Drosophila melanogaster: one gene and its partner. Each later gene encodes a partner of the first gene's protein in a complex. Each region holds a gene or a part of one and is shown on either strand. Other genes may lie near its edges. The genes, in order: inaD and norpA.

What was found.
Region 2: the proteins of inaD (region 1) and norpA are in contact, whole or in part, in a crystal structure (PDB 6IRE), measured with the Drosophila melanogaster proteins. Residues at the interface, in NP_726260.1 of Drosophila melanogaster: Pro498, Gly500, Tyr521, Glu523, Lys555, His557, Gln558, His561, Thr562, Thr563, Glu594, Leu595, Gly596, Leu597, Ser598, Leu599, Ser600, Pro601, Ala609, Asp610, Ile612, Gln615, Phe642, Gln643, Val644, Cys645, Tyr646, Phe649, Lys650; in NP_001162661.1 of Drosophila melanogaster: Arg904, Gln908, Gln911, Asn912, Ile915, Asn929, Lys934, Ile937, Asn938, Gln940, Thr941, Arg952, Asp1070, Lys1073, Leu1074, Asp1076, Met1077, Ile1080, Glu1081, Glu1083, Ala1084, Thr1087, Gln1088, Lys1090, Thr1091, Glu1092, Phe1093, Tyr1094, Ala1095.

Annotation. Positions count from the first base shown.
Region 1 is NT_033778.4:22,855,121-22,860,810, reverse strand, and holds inaD (inactivation no afterpotential D), read left to right. Parts: upstream 1-2,016; 5' UTR 2,017-2,212; coding exon 2,213-2,249; intron 2,250-2,599; coding exon 2,600-3,210; intron 3,211-3,264; coding exon 3,265-3,355; intron 3,356-3,417; coding exon 3,418-3,773; intron 3,774-3,837; coding exon 3,838-4,062; intron 4,063-4,121; coding exon 4,122-4,233; intron 4,234-4,290; coding exon 4,291-4,430; intron 4,431-4,490; coding exon 4,491-4,787; intron 4,788-4,857; coding exon 4,858-5,049; 3' UTR 5,050-5,123; downstream 5,124-5,690. Other genes in the region: RpL23 (ribosomal protein L23), read right to left, coding at 5,169-5,366. UniProt on the Drosophila melanogaster protein: Involved in the negative feedback regulation of the light-activated signaling cascade in photoreceptors through a calcium-mediated process.
Region 2 is NC_004354.4:4,320,869-4,325,776, forward strand, and holds the start of norpA (no receptor potential A), read left to right. Parts: upstream 1-1,757; 5' UTR 1,758-2,287; intron 2,288-2,740; exon of another isoform or gene 2,741-2,933; intron 2,934-4,479; 5' UTR 4,480-4,748; intron 4,749-4,908. Other genes in the region: NO66 (nucleolar protein 66), read left to right, coding at 1-721; mRpL33 (mitochondrial ribosomal protein L33), read right to left, coding at 950-999, 1,063-1,166, 1,223-1,263. UniProt on the Drosophila melanogaster protein: The production of the second messenger molecules diacylglycerol (DAG) and inositol 1,4,5-trisphosphate (IP3) is mediated by activated phosphatidylinositol-specific phospholipase C enzymes. Essential component of the phototransduction pathway.

The DNA of each region.
Region 1 (5,690 bases):
GCTCAGTCCGGTAATCCATTTTCAGTTGTGGTTTTGTGGCTTTCCTTATTACCCAGCTCCCCAGGTCCTGTGCAATTTCCATATTATTCCAAATCCGAATCGTTGCCTCAAGTGTTTTGGCGCAGAAAACTGTAATTTTTATTCATTTCCAGGACGCAGTCTGAAGTGCCTGCTAAACGATTATTAGCAATTTGATATAACTGCATGTAAGTACAACACGAGAACAAGTCAACAACGGATTCGCCTGCACACACACACACACACACACACACACAGACACGTGTGGCCACTTACATAAGGACGAGTGGGTGTATGTGTGTGAGTGTGTTTGCCTGTGTGACAGCCAACAGTGGAAAATCACTTCAGTTAACTAAATCCCCGCAACAACCATGCGCCGACTGCGCCGCAGCAGCACGACTTCTGCAGGAGCGGACAGAGAGAGAGAGAGAGAGAAGGAGAGAGAGAAACAGAGAGCGGAACAGCCGAAAAGGACACGGCACAAAGCAGCCATTGCAGGGGCGTGGCCTGCGGCCAGAGAGCCAATCGGAGGGCGAGGTCTTGCGAACAGCGACGTCGGCAGCGGCAGAGGCTGCAAGGGACGAGGAGAGAGCGGGGCGGGGCTGGGGGAAGAGGTGGAAAAGGGGGCGGCAGCGTTAAGCTCATTGCCATATTTTCGCTGTGCTCTCTTTTGAATTTACTTTACTAACAAAACATGACTGTTGGGAGGCAAAAAGGAAATTGTTTTATCAAATGGGTTTCCTTACGCTTTTTTATTATGAAATTAATTTCCAGCATCGTTTCGCAGTCGTTGACGTTCCACTCCCATCGCTCTCACTCCCACTCTCCGTTGGGTTCGCCATTTTCCAGTTTAAACCCCATTTTGCGCCCAGCTCCTTTGAGCATGTGTTTACTCTAGTTTTCCTTTGGAGCTGCCTTAGCCATTCCACTTTCGTTTCATTCCGTTCGGGCAATGTTCGGGAAATGTTTGCATAGTCATATTCTCCCTTCCCTGCCTCCAGTTTCCTTTTTTCATACCGCCTTTCCCCCCGACAAAGGCATTAAAATGCAAATCTTGATTATGAATTTAAGCTCGGCAGACAAATTAAATTTATTTGCCACTCGAAAGATAAAAATCTTGAAAGTTTTATTTGATTACCGCTTGTGTCTGGTTCAGAAGTTCCCCAGCAATCCTTACCAATTCGCATTGAAATTGTTGCCTACTTTTTGGGGCTATATTATTGATACTGAATATATACAGTTCATATTCAATATCATATCATTGTCACCTTACATTTTATATTTATTTACTCTTTATTCTTCGGTATTTTGTGCGCATTTTATTATTGTTTTTTTATTAAGGATATTATATGTTTTAAAAATGTCCCCCACAAATTGTTGTTATTTGCAGTGCCGATATAGAAGCTCTCGCCCAGGTAAAAGTGTGTGAGACATATGTTATTCAGTTGTAAGTGCAATGAAAGAAAAATATAAAATCGATGGGCATTGCTGGTCAACACTTGGTGGGCTTCTCCTGGCGGAGTGTTGAGTTCAGCACGGGCCAAATCGTACCAACAAATTAATAACTTGATAGGGCCAATAAAGGTACATGGGTATCCATTTTCCCCTAGCCTTCACATCCGCGATGGTAACCCATATAATGGCCGTCTTCGGGGAGCTGGGTGTTTTGTGAGTGGTGTCATAACAGACAGTGAAAGTTACTCAATTCATTGGAGGCACCTCCTCCGAATCGATAGCACTGTACTGCAAGGTAATATTTTAATGGGTAATCTCAAGATACGAAACATTTTCATTATTATTAGTAGAATTTTTCTTTTACTCAAGCATTCTTTAGAAGGAAAGTTTGTGAAAGTGTCTTAGCATATATGTATGAACTACATGCATCTGGTACTCTAAGATCAACCCTGCTGACCAGTGTAATCGATACGAAAATCATACTCAAAATAGAATGGCCACTAAGTCAGTTAGCAAGAATGTTCGCCCGCTAATTGTAAAATCAGTTTAGGCGCACTTTTCAATGGACTCAAATCGGGCGCAGCCAACGCGGAATATTCACAAATAATAATTAAGTGAAAACCCATAACAATAAATATTCGATATTACATTTGAGCTTAATTCGGTGCGCTTAATGTCCGGTCAGTGAGTCGCGAGTTTTTGGCTAGGATTACGGAGCAGTCGATCTCAAGCAGCGAGGATGGTTCAGTTCCTGGGCAAACAGGGCACCGCGGGTGGTCAGTGTCCATTGAGTGGTTTCATGACCAACTGCTAATCAAATTTGCAGCTAGTCCCGAAAGAACTTGACCTTCCAAAGGTCACTCAATACTCGTTTTGTGTTTTATGAATCAAATAAAACAAAATTTGAACAAAAGCCAATTCAATTGACTTTATTGATTCTTAAGAATCCTGTGAGAAATATGTTTATGTAATGAACTTAACCTTAACATTTATATAAACGATTATACAATATTGGTGAAAATTATTTTGCGAAAGGATACCAAGTGGGATAAGGACCCCAATAAATATTTATTAGTAATAGCTTCACATTTGTCTTAGTCGTACTTTAACAATACGTTGTAAATAGTTTTTATTTCATTTGGAATGCACAATCCTTTCCCAGAGCTCATTCACATGGTGACCCTGGACAAGACGGGCAAGAAGTCCTTCGGCATCTGCATAGTGCGCGGCGAGGTGAAGGATTCGCCCAACACCAAGACCACCGGCATCTTCATCAAGGGCATTGTGCCCGACAGTCCCGCGCATCTGTGTGGTCGCCTAAAGGTTGGCGATCGGATCCTCTCGCTCAACGGAAAGGATGTGCGCAACTCCACCGAACAGGCGGTCATCGATCTCATCAAGGAGGCGGACTTCAAGATCGAACTGGAGATTCAGACCTTCGACAAGAGCGATGAGCAGCAGGCCAAGTCAGATCCGCGGAGCAATGGCTACATGCAGGCCAAGAACAAGTTCAACCAGGAGCAGACCACCAACAACAATGCGTCCGGAGGTCAGGGAATGGGGCAAGGTCAGGGTCAGGGTCAGGGAATGGCTGGCATGAACCGGCAGCAATCGATGCAGAAGCGGAATACCACATTCACGGCCTCGATGCGTCAGAAGCATAGTAACTACGCCGACGAGGATGACGAGGACACCCGGGACATGACCGGTCGCATTCGCACGGAGGCGGGTTATGAGGTGGGTTAACCCAAGGTCGCCACCCATCGCTCTACTAACTTATAAGTACCTTAGATCGATCGAGCATCCGCCGGTAATTGCAAACTCAACAAGCAGGAAAAGGATCGCGACAAGGAGCAGGAAGATGAATTTGGCTACACGATGGGTAAGACTCAATTGAAGCCATTAAAAAATGTCAGTCACACAGCACGTGAATGCCATTCCCAGCTAAGATCAACAAGCGGTACAACATGATGAAGGATCTGCGCAGGATCGAGGTCCAGAGGGACGCCAGCAAGCCACTGGGACTCGCACTCGCTGGCCACAAGGACCGCCAGAAGATGGCCTGCTTTGTTGCCGGTGTGGATCCCAACGGAGCATTGGGTAGCGTGGACATCAAACCGGGCGACGAGATCGTCGAGGTCAACGGCAATGTGCTGAAGAATCGCTGCCACTTGAACGCTTCCGCCGTGTTCAAGAACGTGGATGGGGATAAGCTCGTGATGATCACCTCGCGACGCAAGCCCAACGATGAGGGCATGTGCGTCAAGCCCATCAAGAAGTTCCCCACCGCGTCTGATGAGGTCCGTACTTTTCACTTCTTTTCGGATGGATCCTGCGATAAAATGTCCTTCCCTTCTATTCCAGACTAAGTTTATCTTCGACCAGTTTCCCAAGGCGCGCACGGTGCAGGTGCGCAAGGAGGGTTTCCTGGGCATCATGGTCATCTATGGCAAGCACGCTGAGGTGGGAAGTGGCATTTTCATCTCGGATCTGAGAGAGGGATCGAATGCCGAGTTGGCGGGCGTGAAAGTGGGCGACATGCTGCTGGCCGTTAATCAGGATGTAACACTGGAATCCAACTACGATGATGTGAGTCGTCAGGAAGCCCTCCAACCACTTAGTTTAAAACCATTTCATATCCACTTCAGGCTACTGGACTGCTTAAACGTGCCGAGGGCGTAGTGACCATGATTCTATTGACTCTCAAGAGCGAGGAGGCGATAAAGGCTGAGAAGGCGGCGGAAGAGAAAAAGAAGGAGGGTAGGTATTGCGTCCAAGCAAGTTCAAAACTGACATCTTCATCCCGATAACTCACAGAGGCCAAGAAAGAGGAGGAAAAGCCACAGGAACCCGCCACAGCCGAGATCAAGCCGAACAAAAAGATACTCATTGAGTTGAAGGTGGAAAAGAAGCCAATGGGCGTCATCGTCTGCGGCGGCAAGAACAACCATGTCACGGTGGGCTATCTGAACTTTCTGTTTCTGCAAGAAGTACCTTAAACAACTTTTCCCTGACAGACTGGCTGTGTAATCACCCACGTTTATCCGGAGGGACAAGTGGCAGCCGACAAGCGCCTCAAGATCTTTGACCACATTTGCGATATAAATGGTACGCCAATCCACGTGGGATCCATGACGACACTGAAGGTCCATCAGTTATTCCACACCACATACGAGAAAGCGGTCACCCTAACGGTCTTCCGCGCTGATCCTCCGGAGCTGGAAAAGTTTAACGTTGACCTTATGAAAAAAGCAGGCAAGGAGCTGGGCCTGTCGCTTTCTCCCAACGAAATTGGATGTACCATCGCGGACTTGGTGAGTGCACATACACCACTGGTATACAGTGGTAGGAAGGCTCAACCCTAAGTAACTACTTTCTCGACAGATTCAAGGACAATACCCGGAGATAGACAGCAAACTGCAGCGCGGCGATATTATCACCAAATTCAATGGCGATGCCTTGGAGGGTCTTCCGTTCCAGGTGTGCTACGCCTTGTTCAAGGGAGCCAACGGCAAGGTATCGATGGAAGTGACACGACCCAAGCCCACTCTACGTACGGAGGCACCCAAGGCCTAGAGACGATCCTCATTCTCCTCCTCCGGTAGCGAAGCAGTGCAGCAATTCAATAAAAGAACCAACAATTCGAATTCAAAACAATCTGTTTTCCGTTGTGGGTTTATTGAAAAGGAAACTCCTTAGGCTATAGAGCTTGCATTGGATGCAATACGGGGCCACAGATCGGCGCATTCCTTGGCCACCGGTCCAGTGATGGCCGAGCCCTTCATTTCGCCCTTGTTGTTTACTATTACCCCGGCATTGTCCTCAAAGTATATAAACACCCCGTCCCTCCTCCTGAACGGTTTGCGCTGCCGAATAACCACGGCAGGCATGACCTGGAAACAAATGAAAATAGTAGTTAGCAAAGTTGCTCGGCAGTGTGCAAACCTCCTGCTGCATCGGTTAGTTATGCAAAAGTGCGTTGTTATAGGTGGGGGAATTATGAGAAGTGCAGTGAAACCGTTTTATAAACCTTCTTCACTACAATTTTAAATTCTTATCAATAAACAAAAATATTAAAAACGTGAGTTTGGTGCGATAAGCTATCTTAGCCGGCACAAAACATGTGGGGAAAATTTATTGGAAGCGTAAGGAGAAACCTTCCACGTCTAATACAAATCTATCTATATTATCGTATTACTTTACAATGAAATACTCTG
Region 2 (4,908 bases), on another chromosome or scaffold:
TGTTCACCAGGCCATCACCGAAGAGCAACAGCACTCGCTGCACATTACCTTGAGTGTTTACCAACAGCAGGCATATGCCAATCTTCTAGAGACACTAATGCCCATGGTTCTTAAGAAGGCCGTCGATCGGAGTGTGGCCTTGCGTCGCGGCTTGCCGCTGCACACTTTTCAAGTTTTGGGCAATGCCTACAAGGGAAATGACTGCGGGTCGCGCAAACAGCTGGTGGAGAATGTGCAGAAGCTGGTGACCAATTACTTGATGCCCTCCGAAGATGATATTGATGAGGCCGTCGACCAGATGGCCAAGAAGTTCCAGCACGAGGCACTTCCGCCGATCGTATTGCCCTCGGAGGAGGTGCGCACTGTTCATGGGGCACGCAGTGATGCCGATGAGCAGGGCAACTGCGTCTGCGATTACAAATTCAATAAAAAGACATCCGTGCGCCTGCTGCGTGCCAACATTCTGCGTCTGGTGACCGAGTCCGATGGCAGCGTGCGTATCTACCACCATGTGGACAATGGCCTGGATTACTGCAAGTACGAGCCCTATTTCATGGAGATTCTGCCAGAGGAAGCTAAAGCCGTTGAGCTCCTCATATCGGCCTATCCATTTTACCTCACCATTGATCAGTTGCCATTGGAGTCTTCAGCTCGCAAGATAGAGGTCGCCACCGCCCTGTGGGAGCATGGTCTTCTTATGACCGAGAAGCCGTTTAAGTAGACGGCAATCGAAAGCGAGTTGCTGTTGATAATTAGAATTAAGTATCGATGCGAATGTGTATCTAAAACGAGCGTAAATTAATATTTTTGTATAAATATGTAACCAGATTTATAATGCTCCTATTCTGCCGAAAATAAAGCACCCACATTCGCACATATATCTCGGTTGTTTTTTGGTGTTTCCAATAGTTGTAAATTTTATTTTTTTCACTAACAAAAAATGGTTATCTTAGGCGCTGCGGATTTTCTTGCGTTCACGATAAAGGCTTTCCTGTTGAACTGAAAAAGAAACATGGGCAACATCAGTGCATATGCATAAAGTCAGTGATGGCCGGCACTCACTGTACGGATCGAAGCGTATTATCTCCAATTTGTCGGCCAAGCGATCGCGAAAAGCATTAAACTGATGTCCACTGACCACACTTTCCAGTACGACCATGATGCGCCTGTAAAAACGGTTGGTTTTAACAAAAAGAACAAATTGGATGTCCAAATTACTCACTTGCTCTTCACCTTTTTGAACAAAACGTTAGTTAGACGCATTTTGATTCGGTAAATGGGGAAAATGCAGTGAATTATGGAAATATGCCGCTGAAATTATTGTGCAAGCAAGACGATAGGAACGAAGAACAGCTGACTGCGCCTATCGATTACCACCCGAGGGCTCAAGCTTTTCACCCGGATATTTTGAAAAACAATCGGTGTCCACGTATGATGAGTATATATTTAATATTACTATATTTATATTTGATGCATTTATGTCTCTCTGTTTTAAAGCCTTCCTTTCGAAATTGCTAAAAAGCTCTCAGATGCAATGTGGTTAGTAGAAGTCATTCACATATGTATCTTTGGTTGAAGTCCCTGCCAATTAAATATTAAAAAGTTAACATACAGGTTTGAGTCCGTGCTAGAGACTGCAAGCTGTGCCACTGAGGTTAACAGAAGCCAATCGATACCAAGCGCAAGCACTGAAATGTATCGTCGAGAAACATCGGTGGTCAATGCATTCGATGCTTTTTTACATCACTAACACTCGTGCGAAACGGACGCGAATTTTCATTTGTGCTGCGGAAACCAACAACAACAGACAACAAATAAAAACAAACGAAAAACAAAACGGTCAAAATTCCGTGTAAAAAAACTGAAGCCTTGGAAAAATAGAACGAAAAACATAGACGCACTAAAAGCTCAGTGAAGTCCTTTGTGGGCGAAACCGTATAATAAAATAAATCACAGCCACACGCGCTTTCTGTAACTCCTTTTCGCCTTGCCCTGCTCTTGTTTTCCCTTTTAAATATTTTTTTTACGAGTTGGTTTCCCGAGAATTTCCCATACTCGCGCGTGGTAAACAAGACTCATTTTTTTTTTACAGTGTTTGTTTTTTGAAAGTGCAGAGAAGCTGACAAGAAAGAGATAACAACATAAAAACAGAAACAGCCAAAGAGTGGCAACAACAAACAAACCAACCAAACGGAATCAAAGTCAAACAAACGCGAACGCGAAGGAAGCTTCAAAAGAGAGACAAGAGCGTGAAAAGGAGGTGGAGAGGAGCTGCGGAGAATCTAAGGTAGGAGGCAGATTGCGAAAAATACGTTTTTTTGTTTTTTGTTGATTTGCATTTGCATATTCAAAAGTTCTCTGTTTTGAGGGTTGCAGAAGCGAAATTAGTTTTTAAAGCCCGCTTAGTAGCCAATTTGCCGGAATTGCACATTGGAATTCAGTGTGTTCCTAAGTACATAAATCACTAAAAACTAACGGCAAAAATTCAAATAGCTTTCAACAAATATTTACAATTACTCATTGATAAAAGTGGTAATGTGATCCATGTGTAAGTTGTTAAATTATTTTCGTAGCGCATTTGTACGAATGAAAGACTGCAGTAAAAGTTTTCGATTGCATGCAGATCGCTTTCCGAGTTTAAGAAGAAAAGTTGTGGAAAACGTTTTCCTTCTTTAGAGACATCAACTTAATCAAATATCGAACAGCTAGTAAGCCATTGAAATCACATCAGTTTCTTTCTGTGCATCTGGCAAAGTGCTTGATTGTTGATATTTCGAGAGGGGGTTTTCGAAAAGCGATCGGAAATCCAAATTGTAAATGATTTACCAAAAACGTAAACTTGGCCGTGACGAGGGGCAAGAAATGGTCGAAACGTGGGCTGGAGCGGAGCAGGAGCAGGTGAAATACATAAACAAACAAGTGCTCGAAGGAGGGTTAGTTGTGGGAGGGGCTACGCAAATACATAAGTATATGAATAAATAATATAAACAAAATATTAAATTAGAAGAAATTTACTTGCGCGCACGCCGACGCAAACACGAACACAAGGTGCTGGTTGTTGTTGTTAGGATGGTGTGGATATGTGGTGGGGAGGGAAAAGCACACATAAAATTGAAGTATTCAAATTTACACACGCAAAAAACGACGTCGGCAGAGCAAACAACAATTTGCCAGTCCGCCAGCCCTCTCGCTCGCACCCATCCGCACTTGGTCGCCGCGTCTCGCTCGCACTAACGACGGCCACTTGTTTTGCCCTCTGTCGACGTCCACGCAGCCACTGTGCACTGAAAGAAACAAAAGACATGGTACAACATATTCATGAATCGCTTGTAAGATTGATATTTTTTTATAAACGCTCACTTTTCTGTTAACAATACAATATTTTACTCGAAAAATTTAAGAGTTTAAAATATTTAAACTTTAGTGTAAAATCACTGAGTTATTCGACACTGTTATTTCAAAATAAAAAAAATAATGATTTACGACCGATAAACAAAACAAATTTAAAAAAATTGAGCCGCAAATACTTTAAATCATCCAATTCCCATTTAGCTTTATCATTTTTTTTCTTTTTAATTTTGTAGGTGTTAATTAGCAAATACTCATATTTTCCATCTCTCGCCCAAGCTGCAAATGTGCATTATTCAAGCTCTACTGTAGTTCTACGTAGCTTACTTTTTGTGGCAAGTGTGGCGATCAGAAGCTTTATTATGCTTCTCCCTCATTTCCTTTTGTTTGTTTGAACTGCAACCGAGCGAAAGGGGGCGTGCCAGTGGGCGGTGGGTGGCCTGGGATTGTGCAATAAAGCTATAATAATAAAATAACAAACAAACCGTTAAAGCGAACGCCGTCGCACACTCATCGCACCCACACAAACGCACCATAGGTATTGGTGTGTGGCTGCATGATGGGGCGGAAGAAATGGAGAGGAGAACGGCAGGCGAAGGAACAATAATCATATTTGCACTTGCTCTCTCGCACGATCATCACCCACGCAGAAAGAGCGGGCAAGAGCAGCAGAGAGCGCCGGTACAGTAGTCATTCGTCGCACGTATATAGCTGGCCATAAAAGTGGATAGTCATCAATGTGTACTGTTTAGTTTCATAGCATTTATAGAGCAGTTTAGTTTGTTCAATATATTCATATGCAGATTAATTATTTAAATCAGCACTTATCCGTCTGCACAAAAAGGCCCCACTGTACTTGAGATAAAAGTTCTCCGTTGCTGGCTCTCCGTTCTCAGTTGGTCAGTGGTCGTCCGCCGGAGCTTTTCCCGTTAGTCCGCTCGCATAATATAATCCGCGATAAACAAGGGAACACGGCACGGAGAGAGAGCGAAACGGCAACGTGTTTCGTTTTGGTGTCAGTTTCGGTTTTGTTTGCCGCATGTTTACCCATTGTATTATTATTACCTGTTCTATTTCTTTTTCTTTTTTTTATGTGTGTACATTTTCACAGCAATCGCATATTTTTTGCAGTGGCTGTGAGCTGAAATACAAAAAATAAAAAAAACAAGTGCAACCAAATACAGTGTTACCTGTTGTGAGTAAACTTAAGGAAACGTGGAGAGAGCGAGAGAGTGCGACAGCCGACTGATCAAACTGTAAATCTTGCAATGCTCTTCAAACTGAAATTCGCAAGGCGGGAAAAAACAAACAAATATAAATAAACAAGAATAACAAACAAAAATAGGTAGCAAAAGCAGGAACAACAAAAGCCGAAGCCAATTAATTAAATACATATCTACGTAAGTTAAACACACAAGCCAACACGAACTATGATCAGGACACTGAGAGAAAAAGGATGCAACTGTTTGCTATTGCAAAATAAACTGAAGTAGCATACAAAATGACATGTTTGATTTTAGATTATATTGTGAATTAAAAAGTTCTTAGTCATGACATTCA